Rhinolophus ferrumequinum: one gene and its partner. The protein of the gene in region 1 purifies or fractionates together with the protein of each later gene. This does not show direct contact. Links are inferred from orthologs where the notes say so. Each region holds a gene or a part of one and is shown in the gene's direction. Other genes may lie near its edges.

The links. Proteins that work in one complex are often made in the same cells at the same time.
Region 2: the proteins of KIF5B (region 1) and KLC1 purify together in Homo sapiens (co-immunoprecipitation; 11 studies listed by BioGRID and IntAct, counting the BioPlex papers as one, with this or other methods). This does not show direct contact. The link is inferred for Rhinolophus ferrumequinum from reciprocal best matches to the Homo sapiens genes KIF5B and KLC1.

Annotation. Positions count from the first base shown.
Region 1 is NC_046288.1:3,502,623-3,509,545, reverse strand, and holds the start of KIF5B (kinesin-1 heavy chain), read left to right. Parts: upstream 1-3,893; 5' UTR 3,894-4,365; coding exon 4,366-4,491; intron 4,492-6,923. UniProt on the Homo sapiens protein: Microtubule-dependent motor required for normal distribution of mitochondria and lysosomes. Can induce formation of neurite-like membrane protrusions in non-neuronal cells in a ZFYVE27-dependent manner.
Region 2 is NC_046289.1:1,653,299-1,661,089, reverse strand, and holds the start of KLC1 (kinesin light chain 1), read left to right. Parts: upstream 1-4,693; 5' UTR 4,694-4,779; intron 4,780-5,252; exon of another isoform or gene 5,253-5,449; intron 5,450-7,791. UniProt on the Homo sapiens protein: Kinesin is a microtubule-associated force-producing protein that may play a role in organelle transport. The light chain may function in coupling of cargo to the heavy chain or in the modulation of its ATPase activity.

The DNA of each region.
Region 1 (6,923 bases):
TGGATTTTGTTTTCGTGAAGTCTTAACTTCCAGAATCTGTTAAGCAGGAGAAAAGAAGAAACAAGAGTTGAAAGCCTACCAAAGTGCCTTGAGCAGCAGGGGTTCCCAGAGCTTCACTCACATCCACCTCCTTTCTCTCCCCACACCCATGACATCTCCTGAGTCACCTCTTTCAAACCTCTGCTCCATGGAGTAGAATTTGAAAATCCATCATTCCTCAGATCTTATGAGTTGGGGAACAAACGAGAATGGTGGGGTGGAAGCTGAGAAATTCAAATGCAGACAACCATGTTTCTCTTTTGCATGTATAGGGGATGCAGGAAATAGTGGAGTTACAGGTGATTGTAACTTTTTTAGTCCGGGAGTATGAAAGAAGGCTGATTCTGATCATCAAAACGAGAAAGTTGAGTAGAGGAATTAAGCATTGGTAGGGAATAGGGGATAATTAATTTCATCTCTAAAATGCTAAATTTGAGGTTAAGGTTATCGATGTAAGAAATCCAAACCTGTGGAGAAGTTTTGTAATTTATTTGAGCCAAGCTGATGACATATGCCCGGGGAACAAGATCTCAAATGTTCCAGAGAATAACAGTTTTGCAGCTTCTTTTATGTGTTTGGAATTAAGGACAGGATGTAAGGAAGACTGGAGAAAGCAAGGCAAGAATTGGATTATAGGATATTTAACAAGATTATGTACATTTGGGTGTTAATATCCCCTTTGAGGGATATTACTTCTGGTATTTCAAAGGTATGTTAACTTAGATGTACAAGAATAGACAGGGCTGGCTTAAAAACTTTCACTACATAAGTTATGGGCCTGGGGCAGCTGGTTGGCTCAGTTGGTTAGAGTGCAGTGCTCTTAACACCCAGGTGGCCTGTTTGATTCCCACATGGGCCAGTGAGCTGTGCCCTCCACAACTAGATTGAAAACGACAACTTGACTTGGATCTGATGGGTCCTGGAAAAAACCACACTGTTCCCCAATATTCCCCAATCAAAAAAAATAAATAAATAAGAAAGGTTATAGGCCTGGGGCATGACTACCCACCATGAGCTGCCCAGTTAGGATTTTATGATCAGATCCCCTTGTGAGGTTACTTTCCATAGAACCCCTTTTTCCCCATCCACAGGTAGAGCATCGTAAACGAGGTGGCCTATAAGCAGCTGGAGAGATGGGAGCGTCACACAAGTGAAAAGGTCAGAGTTGTAGATAAGAGATTCCAGCAATTGTTGAAGTGAGTTCGGAGAGAAAAGAGCAGAGGGCTGAGGGCAGAGCCTTCCTGAGATCCTGCTGCAGAGGTTGAAAATTGGTGGCTACATGCCACAGTCTCCTTCTTTGTGTGACTACTGCTTCCTTACTCACTGAAAGCTTTGTTTTCTAAAATCATGGACTATCAAAAAACTTTGAAATTATATCAGTAAGAATAAAACATCCCACACTTGCCTGGAGCCTCTAAATCAGGGGTGTAGAAACTTTTTTCGTTGTTTTTCACCAAGGGCCGTATGCAGTAAAATACACAAACAGCCGGGCCACTCACTCGAGGTGAAGTACGTATTGCCTCACCTGGTTTATTTAAGTAAACTAAATATATTTTTGGAATTTGCTGCGGGCCAATTAACAATGGATTGCAGACCGCAGTTCGCCCGCGGGCCACAGTTTTGACACCCCTGATCTAAATCATACAAAAGCAACCTTGATTGATTTTCAAGCTGGGTGCAGAGCTTCAGGATGGGTTTCTGAAGACAACATTTCCTATCTACCTTAACTTTGTAGTTCCCAAGGAAACAGGACCTTCAGGCCACTTGTAGTCCAGACCTGATGTCCCAGCTCTGCTTTGTTTGGAGTCTATTGTTAAAAACCAAAATTCACCGAAGTAAATTTGAAGATCTAATTGGCTTTATTAAGCAATTCACGAATCGGGCAGCATCGCATTTAGCAACTGAAAGGGAGGGCGCTCAGATGAGTTGTACAAAATGGAAGGTTTTTATAGAAAGAAGGGTGGGGCAAGGGAGCTATTAGTGAAAGAAAAGAAAGGATTAGTTTTGGGCCAAGACATCTTTTCCTTGGGGAAAGAAAAGGGGAAAGGTTTTTATTGTGTACATTGTCTCTTCTTTCTATGGGGAATGGAGAGGGTCTATGTGACAGATTATCTTACTGGTATTTGACCAGAAAATTCCATACTGGTAGATTAAGATTATGTTTCTGGGAGTGGTTGAAACTTCAATTCGATCAGGTGTTAAATCTAGGTTTGGTGTCCTGGGCTTTTAGCACTAGTGACACCATTTTAACTCTATGTTATGGAGCAAGGGCTCACTGCCCAACACGCAAAGAAGTCAATACTATGGCACTAGATGTTGAGAAAAGAAAAAAAAAAAAAGCTTTATTGTAAGGTCGACATGCAAGAAGACAGGAGGCAGAACTCAAATCTGTCTCCTTGACCCAGGGTTCACAGCAATATTTAAGGGGTTGAGAGAAACAGACTGGTGTACAGAGAAGCTCTGGTGGGGCAAGTTTGAACTGGAGAACTTTGGAACTTGGCCATTTATGCTAAGATATGGTAAGGGGCGTCAGCACTGGATCTTCTTGGATAATGGGCTCTTTACTTCTGAAAGGGTTCCGGTGTTCCGGTTCCAGTCATGTCTGGTCCTTTGGTTCTGTGAGGGGTCGGGTGAAACTTTGGTTTCAGGTGTTACTGGTCAAAATTCTCTCCTCTGCGTATGCTTGGCGGCATGACTTGCAGTTTTGTTGTATTGTCGGTGAGAAACGACTCAGCATCTTGTTAGGAACAGGATAAGGCCAGTTTGAGCTGTTCTGCAGTTATACTTGTGGTTTTTTTGTTTAACACTATCAAATCACAGCTTCATTGAAATTTTACCTAAACTCCACACTTCACCCAAAGCCATTACATGTATCTTTTTCTTTGGGGAGATGCCCCACAGTTCCTCTGGTGTGAGCTCTCCTTCACTGCAGTGAATCAATAAATCTGAATCCTGAAAGATTCATTTCTGGAGGTTTTAGGATGGTTGGGCAAGGAAAGAGGGCATTGGAGGTTTCCATAGTCCAATCCTTCCTTTTACAAACTGGTAACCAGAGGAAGGATTCCTAATTATCTTGCAGTTCTCCTTCCACAGCACTTAAGAGCGACTTCCATGTGAAGAGCCATTATAGTATCCATCTTCTAAAAATAGGAGGCAAAATCAACTGTGGAGTGGTTTTCCTTCGATATGTAATCCACAAATTTATCCAGGCTCTTTGAAAGCATCTTTACATCCTAGGTCAATCATTCCTCTGGTGTTGAGACTGATGATTTTCATACGTGTATTACAGATTGATTGTAATACAGATTGAGGGCCTTCTCCTACCTCACCCTATTTTTCTACATTTCTTCAGCAACCTTCTTCATTCCTTAGAAGAAATTTCCTTTTTCTTTCATATTCCTGTCTCCCCAACCCACTCTCTCAAGAAGGAGCAACTGCTTGAAGCAGAGAGCCATGTCCCAACACCCTCATTCAAATCTTCCTTTTTCTGTCAAAGCGCTCTAAAAAGGCGGGCTGGGAATCAGTTATCTCCAGACCAAACAGAAAGCAAACACTTCCCTATTGGAATATAGTATTTTATTTAAACAAACGACAACATAGTTTTAACAAATCCATTGTCCCCTACAGAAAAGAAAGCTAAGTGCATCTGCCTTGGGGAATTCTGCGGCGGGACAGTAGTGGGAACAGTGGCCAGATGACCAAAGGTACTTTTTGCATTGGAGCCGCCTCTGTAACTTGATTCTGCTACCGAGCGGCGGAGAGCGGCGGCGGGGAGGCGGCACAGCCCGGCGCGGGCGCGGGCACGGATTGGTCGCTGGGGCGGCCGGGCCTCCGCGCCTGCGCTGTGCTCCTCACGCACCGCCCATCCCACCGCCCATCCCACCGCCCGGTCGCGGGTCTGCGGCCTTAGGAGTGACCGGGTGGCAGCCGGGTAGCCGGCTAGCAGATAGCTGGGCTGGGAGACGGTGGGCCCAGCCTGCTTTGTCTAAGGGAGAAGGAGGCCGCACTCCGGGTCTTCAGAATCCCTCCAGACCCGGCAGCCTGCCTAGGCCGGAGAGTCAGAATCCGAGGAGCCGCGGACGCTCCACCCGGTGCCGCCGCCGCCATGGCTGCCATGATGGATCGGAAGTGAGCCTCAGGGCGACGGCTGCCGGCTCCCGCTCTTCGAGTCCCGGTTTCCCGGCTGCCGCCGCCGGGAGAAGCGCGACGCAGCGGACTGCTGATTGTCTCGGCCTTCGCGACCCTATACCCTCAGTTCCGGTCCGCTTCCTCCCAGACTGAGCGGCGGGGAGTGGCTCCCGGCCTCCGGCCCCGGCAACGAGAAAGATGGCGGACCCGGCCGAGTGCAACATCAAAGTGATGTGTCGCTTCAGACCTCTCAACGAGTCCGAAGTGAACCGCGGCGATAAATACATCGCCAAGTTTCAGGGAGAAGACACGGTCATGATCGCGGTAAGTGACCTCCACTCCCTCCCCCAGTACCGCCCCTTCAGCCCTGGCTGGGCTGGAGTTCAGGGAAGTGGCGGTGTGCAGAATGTAGAGGGAGCAGTGGTGTCCCCAATCCTTCCGAGTGGAGTTTCCCGGTTCGGACAACCCAGGGCAGGGAGACTGCGCGGCTCCGCGTTTGTTCCTGGATCGCCCCCACCCAGATCCTCGGTGCCGGGAGACCGGAGGCGCCTGGTCTAAGTCTGGGACACTCCCCCGCCTGGGGCGCTGGAGAAACTGGGGAGCAAGTTTAGTGTATATTTGCCTGTGTTTGTGTGTGTGTGTGTGTGTGTGTGCGTGTGCGCGCAGTTACTGTTGCTGATGGCTGTTGGGGTTTTGGACTACCCCCAATTTACCATTCATAAAATATGTAAGATTAAAGTTCAGCTAGGAACGTTGAGCTATGAGATCAGCCCTATTGTATCTTAAATAGTAAAAATACTTAGATTTGTAGCAACATATAGCTACGAGTTGAACCATATTGTTTAACCCCGAGGCAGGAGAGAAAGCTACCCAACTACAGATATACCTGTACCTCAAATGTTTACCCATCTGCTTTTTGTTAACAACTGAAAAAGATTAATAGAGGACTATACGAGTAAAAAGAAATAGTGAGGTTTTTTTTTGAAATCGCAGTAACACACTCTTAACTAGGTTTTATCGGGTAACAGTCTGGGTAAAAAAAGTTAATTTTTTGTGTGTATATCAGACAGTATTATAAAAGCAAGCTTTTAAAAACAGATAAAATTTAACCAGTAAAACTAGATTTCTTGTTAGTATTAGATTTCTGCTTCTACAACTAACGTCTACCTTGAAAAAGTTGATTTTAGTAATCCTGAGAATAGTGAGATGTTGTCCTTTTGAAGTATAAAACATAAGATAATCAGAGTTGGCTGAATCATTGTCAGGGAGACCAGAATGTAAAGTTGTTGTGGTTTTTTTTTTTTTTTTTTTTTTTTTGCGTTCAAGAAGATTAAAATGGGTATTAAGATACTGCATACAGAACAGTGAACTGTAACTAAAATTAAGTCTTTGTTGGTAATGCTGTGCGGCAGAACTTTTTTCTACATTGCTATCATGACATGAAATTTTAATATTAAGTTTTTTTAGTGGCATTCCATATTTAGCATATTATTTGGACAGTTTAATTTGGAAATAGGACAGGGGTCACAGGAGATGGGACAGTGATAATTAAAAGCATTGCCATATCAGACAGGACTAAAGTTCTTTAGAGTTTTTATGTGAAAGTTTCCAAAGTTCAGGTCTAGAAAATGAATGTTGCTCCATGTTGCTTGTTAGGCTCTTGACAAACAAGCCATTAGGTTACTAACAACTGCTAGCTACTGCTGTGTGAAGACTGTCAAGCTGGTTCTTTGTTAACAAGTCCACAAGAAAATAATCCTGCTGTAAATGACATCATAGGGAGGCCAAGAAGTTAAGCACAGAAGTAGTGATTCCTTTTCCTTTCAGATAATACAGGAGTATTTTACGTGGAATCAGAGGAGGCTTGTAAGGCCTGGGTTGTAAGTTGGCAAACGCGAGGCTACTAGTTTCTCAGAGTTTTTGTGATTCCTCAGTCTCAACAGTGGTTGACACATGAAAGCTGTTTTCCTTAGACTTGTATTAAGAATGTCTTAATTCTCCAAAAAATTTTTTTTGTGTTTACTCAAATCTTAAAGAATTACCAAGATGCATTTTTATAATGCTGGAATTTAGGATTCACAAAATGTGTTAAGATTAGGTTAGAAGACAACCTTCTGATACCGCCCAAATATGACATAAAATACAAGGAAAGAGTGAAAAGAAAACAATTGCCACAGGAAGCACATTTGTGCTAGGTTGTTTCCTTTGGATAAAGTTATAAGTTTCTTATGTTTCCTTAGTAATGTAAATAAATTTAAATGATAATATTAGAAATGATAGATGACTGAGCTGTGAATCAGCGATGAACAGTTAAGTTGGCCTTTATGTAAACTGGCAAGCGTTTTAGTCTTTTTTTAAAAATGTATAAGCAAAAATACATTACAAATGAGTGACAAAGCCTTAAGACATGTAAGGCAACATGTTCAGTTCATTATTTTCAGGAACTAATCTTTTGCATATAGTAAGTCATTAATTACTCTGAGGTCTCATTTTTGTTCAGTTTTTAAATGAATTATTTTACTTTTCAAAGGTTGTTTGGGAATTTGTAAGGGCTGCTGGGAGAAGTGAAATTAGAACGTCACTAGGTAAAATCTTCATGGTTTATTTGTTTTACTGGATCTTGATCCTGATTCAAAATAAAGAGTTTAAGAAGGAATTACAATACAGAATTTGAAACTGAATTATTTTAAATGTTTGTACACAGTCTTGTAGTTAAATCGAAATTTAAAGAGTAAGTTTTTGTTTTTGGCTTTTAT
Region 2 (7,791 bases), on another chromosome or scaffold:
AGGTACAAAGATGTGATATGTGGAACCAAGCAGGCATTTCTGCTCCTACCGGTGTTTCCCCAAAAATAAGATCGGGTCTTAATTTTTGCTCCAAAAGACGCATTAGGGCTTATGTTCAGGGGATGTCATCCTGAAAAATCATGCTAGGGCTTATTTTCCAGTTAGGTCTTATTTTTGGAGAAACATGGTACACAGGGAGCCAGGCTGAGGTCTGAGCATGCCAGCCAGAGGCAAAGGTAAGAAGGCCCCAGGACATGGAGCCCCCACCATGGCAGGATCCAGGAGTGTTCGGGCACTGCAGGCAGAATTAGGAGGGGTAGGCGGATGAAGACCAGAATTCCTTCTGGACCTGTGAAATCCAGCAGCTGGGTGTCCACGGTTTCCTCCCTCATTCATTCACTCATTCATTCAGTTTAGCCTCCGTTGACTGAGAACCACCATATTCAAGAACCTGAGTCAGGTTTGGGGTCTGTGGGAACAAGGAGGGGCAGAAGATACCACAGGAATTAAGGGGGGTCTGTGCCCCCAAAGGCTCAGAGCAGTTGTGACAGGAGTCTGGCCTGACTGGATGGAGCCAACAACCTTGGAGAAAGTGGTAGGAGGCCGGAGGAGGTCACGCTCTGTGGAGGGAGCTCCTGGGGACGTGAGGTCAGGCGTCAGACAGGCTCCTGTCCATAGAGGGGCTTGCAGCCGGGGGCCAGGAGAAACCTGTGCTGCTGTGGGACAGACCTGGCACCTGCGTGGCTATTTTTGTGTAAAAACCGGAAGAAGCTCTCCATCTGCTGTTCTCAGGTGCCCCATAGCTTGTCCTTGAACAAGTCCACCCCCTTCTGGGATTGGCTGGCTCAGGTGAGAATCAGGGGTGGCCAACGTGCTGTGGCCACAGGGCCCAGCGTGCTGCAGGGGTGTAGTTACACAAGGGGAAGTGTTTGTCAGGACTCATCCATGGTAGCCTAACTGTGCATTTCACATTGCGTACGTTTTCCCTAGAAACAAATACTCAACTCCGTTAGTGATACGCATGCTAAAAGTGTTTAGGGGTGAAAGGGTGACGTGTGTGCAGAGCTTCAGTATATGGGGGGTAATGGGGGCAGGAACATAGCCCTATGATGGGGTCTGAGCAGCCCACCTGAGTTGTGACCCCCCGCCCCCATCTAATCTCCCTCTGCAGCCTGGAGTCCCCAATGTGCTGGAGCAGGGTCCAGAGTGGGGCTCCTGCACTGCCAGGCGATTGCTGATGGTGAGGACCCTGCATGCATGCATGCCCTCCCCACTCCTGCACAAATGCCCCTGGCCACCTACCACCAACCTGCCCGCACACACACCTCCCCCCCCACCCCACCACGAGGGGTTACTTGGGAGCTTCCCATCCATCCATGCATCCAGCTGTCCATTCAAATGGCATCTGATGCAGCCACTTTAAGTCCCCTTCCCCACTCCTGGTTTCACACTCTCCTTGCCCTGGCTCCTCATTCCCTGCCCCCTTGCTGACTCTCACCCTCTCTCACCTCCCGCCTGCTGCACTGGATGCAAGTAAGTTCATTGTACCCTGGGGAGGGTTGGGGATACCTGACTGATGTTTGCAACTTACTCTGAAATGCATCCAAAAGAAAAGAAAAGTAGAGAAAAGAAAAAGATGGATTCGTGGATAGAAAAAGGGTTGGAGAAATGGAGAGACAAGTGATAAAGCAAATAGGGCAAAATATTCATTGCAGAGTCTCAGGGGGGTACATGGGTGTTCACTGCACAACTTTTTTCTGTATGTTTGAATGTTTTCATAATAAAATATTGAGGGGGAGGAAATCTCCAATGCAGAAGACCAGATTTCCCTGACATGTCCCTGAGACCTGGCCCCCAGGTCCCATTGTTTATCTCCATCATAGTGTTTATCAAGCCACACTGACATGGTTTCAGTCACAGATGCTGTCACCCCCCCCCCCACCCCGCTCCTGGCACACCCTGCTTAGATAACCGCAGGAACAGGTCCAGTCTCTGCACTTTTTCTAACACATGTCATGGTTCCTTGCAAGGACGTGAAGTAAGAAATATTCTCCTGGGCACTGGGAGTAGTACCATCCCTAGCAGCTGGCTCTGGTCCAGGGCCACATTTGGAGCTCAACACGCCGTGTTAAATGTACAAAACACACACACAGCCAGATGGCTCTTTTTACAGCAGAGACTGCAGTCCCTCCCTGCCTGCCCTTGAGCTCAGTCCTCATCTGGAGACATCCTGGGTCCACAGATGGCTCTGTGACCTGGGCTGGACCCTTCAAGATGGCTTCCTTCAGGCCTGGTGCCCCCAGGGGACACTGGAAGGCGGGGCTCTCCATCAAGGAGCTGGCCTTCTTACATGGCAGCTCAGGGGTCCCAGAAGCACAAAAGGGAAAGCTTCCAGGCCCTCTTACAGTTGAAGCCTGGAACTGGACAGCCTGCCCCAGCTGTGTCTGGGGATCAGGCTGGCCCAGTGGGCCTGTGGGCGGGGCTAGGCAGGAATGCAGGGGACTCTGGCCAGTCCTGCTGGAGCCCAGCTTCACCAAGCAGGACCCAGGCCTCAATTCCCTGCAGCTAGAAATGTGTGAGAGAGACAGGGAGGGCTGGGCTTCTCCCTGGAGCTCTCCCACTTCCTCATCCCCCCTCTTCCACCTCAGAGGGGTGCTGTTTCCCCTTTGTCTGAGGGAGCAGTCAGTGGAGCTTAATGATGGCAGCTCACCCTGGACCTCTGATAAATGCCATTTTCAGAACTGAAGCAAGATACCAAACAGGGCATGACTTGCAGTGCAGAGCGAGGCAGGAGGAGCCCAGACTGGCCCTAAAGCCAGGCTCCTCTCTGGGCCCAGAGCAGCTGCCACTCATTGGTGAGCCTTGGCAGGCCGGTCAGTGCCCAGGCTGGGGGAGGGAGAGGGTTTGGGAGGGGCAAGCGTTCTGCAGGCACCAGACCTAGCTTCTCTCCTCCCTTCCTCCTCCCCCTTGCTTTTCCCCTTCCCCCCCTCCCCTCTTCTTCAGGAACTCATGACTGGGGCCACCCACTGGACTGCAGACCACTCCCCCCACCCCCCACCCCCGGCATGCAAGGGAAATTCCAGCATCCTTGTCTCCCACAGGGCTGCCCCTAACGCATCCACGGACATTGACAGTAAAAAGGTGACTGCTTTAAACAAGTGACAGCATCCCTCCACTTGCCACTTGAGACGAATGAGACTGTGGTTTGTTCCGTCCTTGTGGGGGCACTGCGCTTTTCTTCCTGCACTTCCTACCCAGGTCCCTCCCACCTGCCGTGTGATTGTCCCTCTTCCATGAGTCCTCTGATCCCTGAGGGACGACAGCTTCCCCCTCAGCACCTGACCCATGCTGCATTTTGATACCTAAAGCTGAGTTGATCCCTCTCTGGGACTCAGGAAGCAGCCTGGCACTTGCAGGGCCTCAGTGGCAGCATCTGTGAAATGGGGATGGTGGTGCCGCTGTTGGAGCTGCTGTGAGTATCAGAGGACTGAAAGTGACTGAGGACACACAGGGCAGCACGGGCGGGCGGCTGGAGTGGGCGTTTGCTAGACTCTGTGAGACCTGGGGATGGGTACACGGCAGCGTTTCCAGGTCCCGGAGGGGCGGAAGAGAGTGGATGAATTGGCCTTTGTTTCCCCCAATTCTCCAGACTCACCCCTGCCTGGAGAGTTGTGTCTGGAGTGCTGTCAGTTCACACCCTGTCCACCTGGCCTCGTCTGTCACTTCATCTTACCTTCATTCTCTGCATGGCACTGCAGGAGCAGGAATCTCACTAGCCCGTTTACCAACGAATCTTGGCTCTTAGCGTGGGGACCACTGCAGCTCAACAAATAAATACTTGTTGAGAGGATAAGAGAGCCAGATAAAGCCTAAATAGAGTGGCAGCAATGGGGACAGACGGCGTGGGCTAAAGCAATATTAGTGAGGTAGACTCTTGGCCACCCATGGGTGCAAAAGTACAACTGTGGTTAAAAAGGTTAAAGAAGAATTTGCAAAAACCGCAATTACTTTTGCACCAATTTAATAGCTTGGGGACAGTTGCTGAGCCCAGAGTCACAGAGGCAGAAAGGAGCCTCGTGCAGCCCGCTCTGCTCTTCCCCAGAGCACTTTGGTGACAGCTGCTGTGCGCAGCCTCCAGGTGGTTGTGGGGAGCAGGTGACATCCAAACTGGGGTGTGGCGGGATCACTAAGGGAGTGTGGAGGGGCTGACTCTGATTCACTGCCTCTCCCTGGGCCCAGTAACGCTGTGTCACCGCAGAGCTTCCCTTTTTCGCAGACCTTTGCATTTTTAAATGAAAGCAAAGTAACTGGACCTCCCGGTGCTTACTTCCCGGTCACTGCGTAATGGCAGGGTTAAACCTGCTGCGGGTGCGGGGTGATAACATCTGAAGAGGACAGTCGTTCAAAAGGAAGTCGGGGGTGGCGGACTGGCTCAGGAACCCCTCTGGTTAATAATGCCGTGGGGCCCTGCACTGAAGACCTCGGCAGGCACCTGGAGGAGGGGGTTCTCCCAAGCTGGGGCAGCCAAAGAAAGCTGAGCCCTGCCCACTGAATCAGCACGTCCCCCTGGCTGGCTGCTGAGTCAGGCCTGCAGAGCTGGCGGCAGCAGGATGAGGCCCGGCAGCGCTCTCTGACCTGGAAGCACTGCCCTTCAGGCCGGGCGGGAGGTCGTGGCCACTGGCGATGGCTGCTGTCGGGTGGGACAGCAGTGGGTGGCATCTCTGCTCGGCCAGGCACCAGCGGTCAGGCGGCCGTCCCTTCCCCTCCTACCCGCCTGAGGTGCAGTTCATGCCCTCGTGCTGAGGGGAGGGCCTGGGAAGTCCGCAGAGCTTTGATTCTGGGGGGCCAGGCTCTTGGAGGAGGGAGAGGGGCCCCTGGGCTTTGCCGAGCCCCTCGGGATCCTTCCTTAGAGGGCGGGAGGAAGCCCTCCCGGCGTTCTGGAAAGACTCAAAGGGGCACAGGACGCGTGAAGACAGGGCTCGGCACACAGCGCACGTTATTCCCGAGCTGTGAGAGCGGGAGCGGCCGCGCAGGGGAGGCAGGGCCGGCCCGTGCTCCCGCCGCAGTCCTTCCCCCTCGAGGGGAGGCCGCCACCGACCGGCGCCTCGCCCCTCTGCCCACCCGCGGCGGCGGGCCGGGTGACGTCACGGCGGCGCGCGGCATTGTGGGGCGGGGCGCGAGCTGGGGGAGGGACGCCGAGACGCCATTTTCGGCGGCGGGGCCAGAGCCGGCGGGGCGCGGGACGGCTGCTGCGCGAGGGAGCCGAGGGGACAGCGCGCGCGGGCGGCCGAGGATGCTGCGGGGCGGCAGCGCCGGCGCCCCTCGCTCGTGACCGCGGCGCCGCGCCTGAGGCGGCCGAGGCAGCGCACCCCGCGCTCTCCCGGTCCGCGCACGCGCCCGTGGCCTCCGGTGCTGACAGCGCGAGCGCGCGGCCCGCGGGAGCAGCACGGTGAGTGCGGCGGGCCTCGGGCCTCAGCCGTGTCCCCTCGGGCCGCTTTCCGCCGCGGGCCCCGTCCCCGTCCGCGTGCATTCCTTTCCATCCCCGTCCCCAGCCGCCGTCCCTCCAGGCCCGGGTCCGCCTCGTCCCCATCCCTCTGAGGTCCCGCAGCCCCGCCCCAGCATCCCTGGCTCGGCCCCGCTGCGGGCGTGGTGGCCGTTCCGGGAACAGCTGCGGCTCCGGAGCCGCGCGGGGGGCTGTGGCCGCCCCCGGGAACGCGGCGCGGCGGAGCGGGGGCGCCGGGAGGGGCGCCCGCTGGGCTTCGCTTTGTCCGAATCCTCCCTCTTCCTTCCGGCCGCCGCCCTCTCCGGCGGCGCCGCCCTGGGCGGACGCGCCTGTCAAGCTCGCGGGCGACGCGCGACCCGGCGGGTAGGAGGCGTGCGGGGTTCCCCGGAGAGGCCGGCGGAACCTCTCCTGCTCCGCGACCCTTGCGTTCACTAGGCAGACGCGAAACGGTTCATCCACGGTGTTCACCCGGGCCCGCGGGGCTCCTGCTAAACTTGCAGTAGCCCGGTCCTGGAATAGTTAGGCGGTGGTCAGATTTGGTGCAGCTCTTTCCTTAAAAATATTAAAATAAAGCATTAAAAAGGTAAAATTAACGCCTGGTGGATTGCATGGCCTCATAACTTGAACTTTGTAGATCCAGGTAGTTTTCTTAGAAATTTTGTGGTGTTGCTTATTGCTGTTTCGTTCTTCAAACAGCTCATTAAGACTACATATTAAGCGTTTGATAAGGAGTACTTGCAAAAGTCATTTTTTAAAAGTGTGTGAACAACAGAAAATTTGACATAAACCTTTTAAAATGTTGTGTAAAAGGGCAGTTGGTTCTTTGACTCTCTGCACGGACCCAGGGCTTTTTCCTTTAGCCATCGATCAGAGTCATTACCTCAAAATACATTGTAACAGTTCAGTGAGAAACCCATCGGGAAATTGGAACGACATCCTCAAGTCTCACAATCTTATTACAGTTCTGGATTTACCTATTTCAGGGACTGGCAACAAGGTCGGAGTGGGAAAATTGATTCATTGTTCTGAGTCCTAAGTATCTAAGAATACAATGATACTAAGCATTGCAAATTTCAGATTGTGGGGAACTAGTACACGTGGGAGGGCAGGTGCTCTGAAGAGCCGGTTCCTGCCACCGTCTAAGTGCAGCCTCATGTTGCAGTGGGCCTGGCGCCCTTTGCCCTGTGTTCCCCAGGGCTGTGGAAGACCCTGGCCGGTGACCTCCCCTTGCCTGGCAGTGTCTTCCCAAAGCACCGTGGACCTGGTAAAGGGAAAAGGATAAGCATGGGAGTCAGGACAGTGATTGTCTCCAGCAAGGAAATGCCACTGGGGGGGTGGGGAGGGGCACGTAATATCTTCACTATGCCACAGTAAATAAAACCTTGCCCACGGTGACTTAAAAATTGTACGTTCTTAAGCGTGTTTCATATGTGAAAAACAGGTAAGTCAATATGTAGCTTTTCATGTGGGGCTATAAACTGTCTCAAAATAATGGTGTACAAAGAATACCAGAAATAGAAAAGTAAAAGGTTCAATAAAATGTAGGATTTGTATAATCGGAAAACACGCGGAATATGGTAAGAAACCGGAACTTTATGTAATAAAGAAGTGTTAGTAACATCGTAAATGAAAGTACAGGAAAGTGTTAAATGTCAGATGGTTAGCATATTAAGATTGTGAAAACATGGTCTTAAACATGGTCTGTAGAGACCCAACTGAATGGCAGGTGATGTGCTAATTAGTAGCTGGTGATATGGAGATAGAGACAGTCGCTCCTTTAGGAGCTCACAGTGTGGAGGGAGGCCGGAAGTGGAGGAATGCCGCAGGTTAGGTTAGCTGGTGCCGAGTGCCCTGAGGACAGATTCCGAATGTGAGATGGGAAGAAAAATACAAATTGGCCAAATGACGGGTGGGGTTGGAAGTAGTGGCTCCGGAGGACGGTGGTGCTGCGTGGAGGGGCCTGCTGGGTGGGGGGAGAGGGGGAAGAGGAGATCGGAAAGGCTGTGAGAGTTTGCCTGGGGCGTCCCTGCGTCCTGCGCGGAGGAAGGAGGACGGGGGATTCTCGTAAGGAGTCCCGTGGCGTTTCGGAAAGAGCCGGGTGGTGCGGCAGGTGCTTTGAACTGAGAGGAGACTAGCTAGGAAAGCATTAACCCCAAGTGAGGACGGAGAGCTTCTGAGTTAGGGTAGTGCCAGTAGGACCAGAACAGATGGATTAGTGCCCTTGATTTGGGGCTGGGTAGATGGAAGGGTGGGGCTGCAGGGGGAAGAGAGTGATGGGTAGCGTTGGC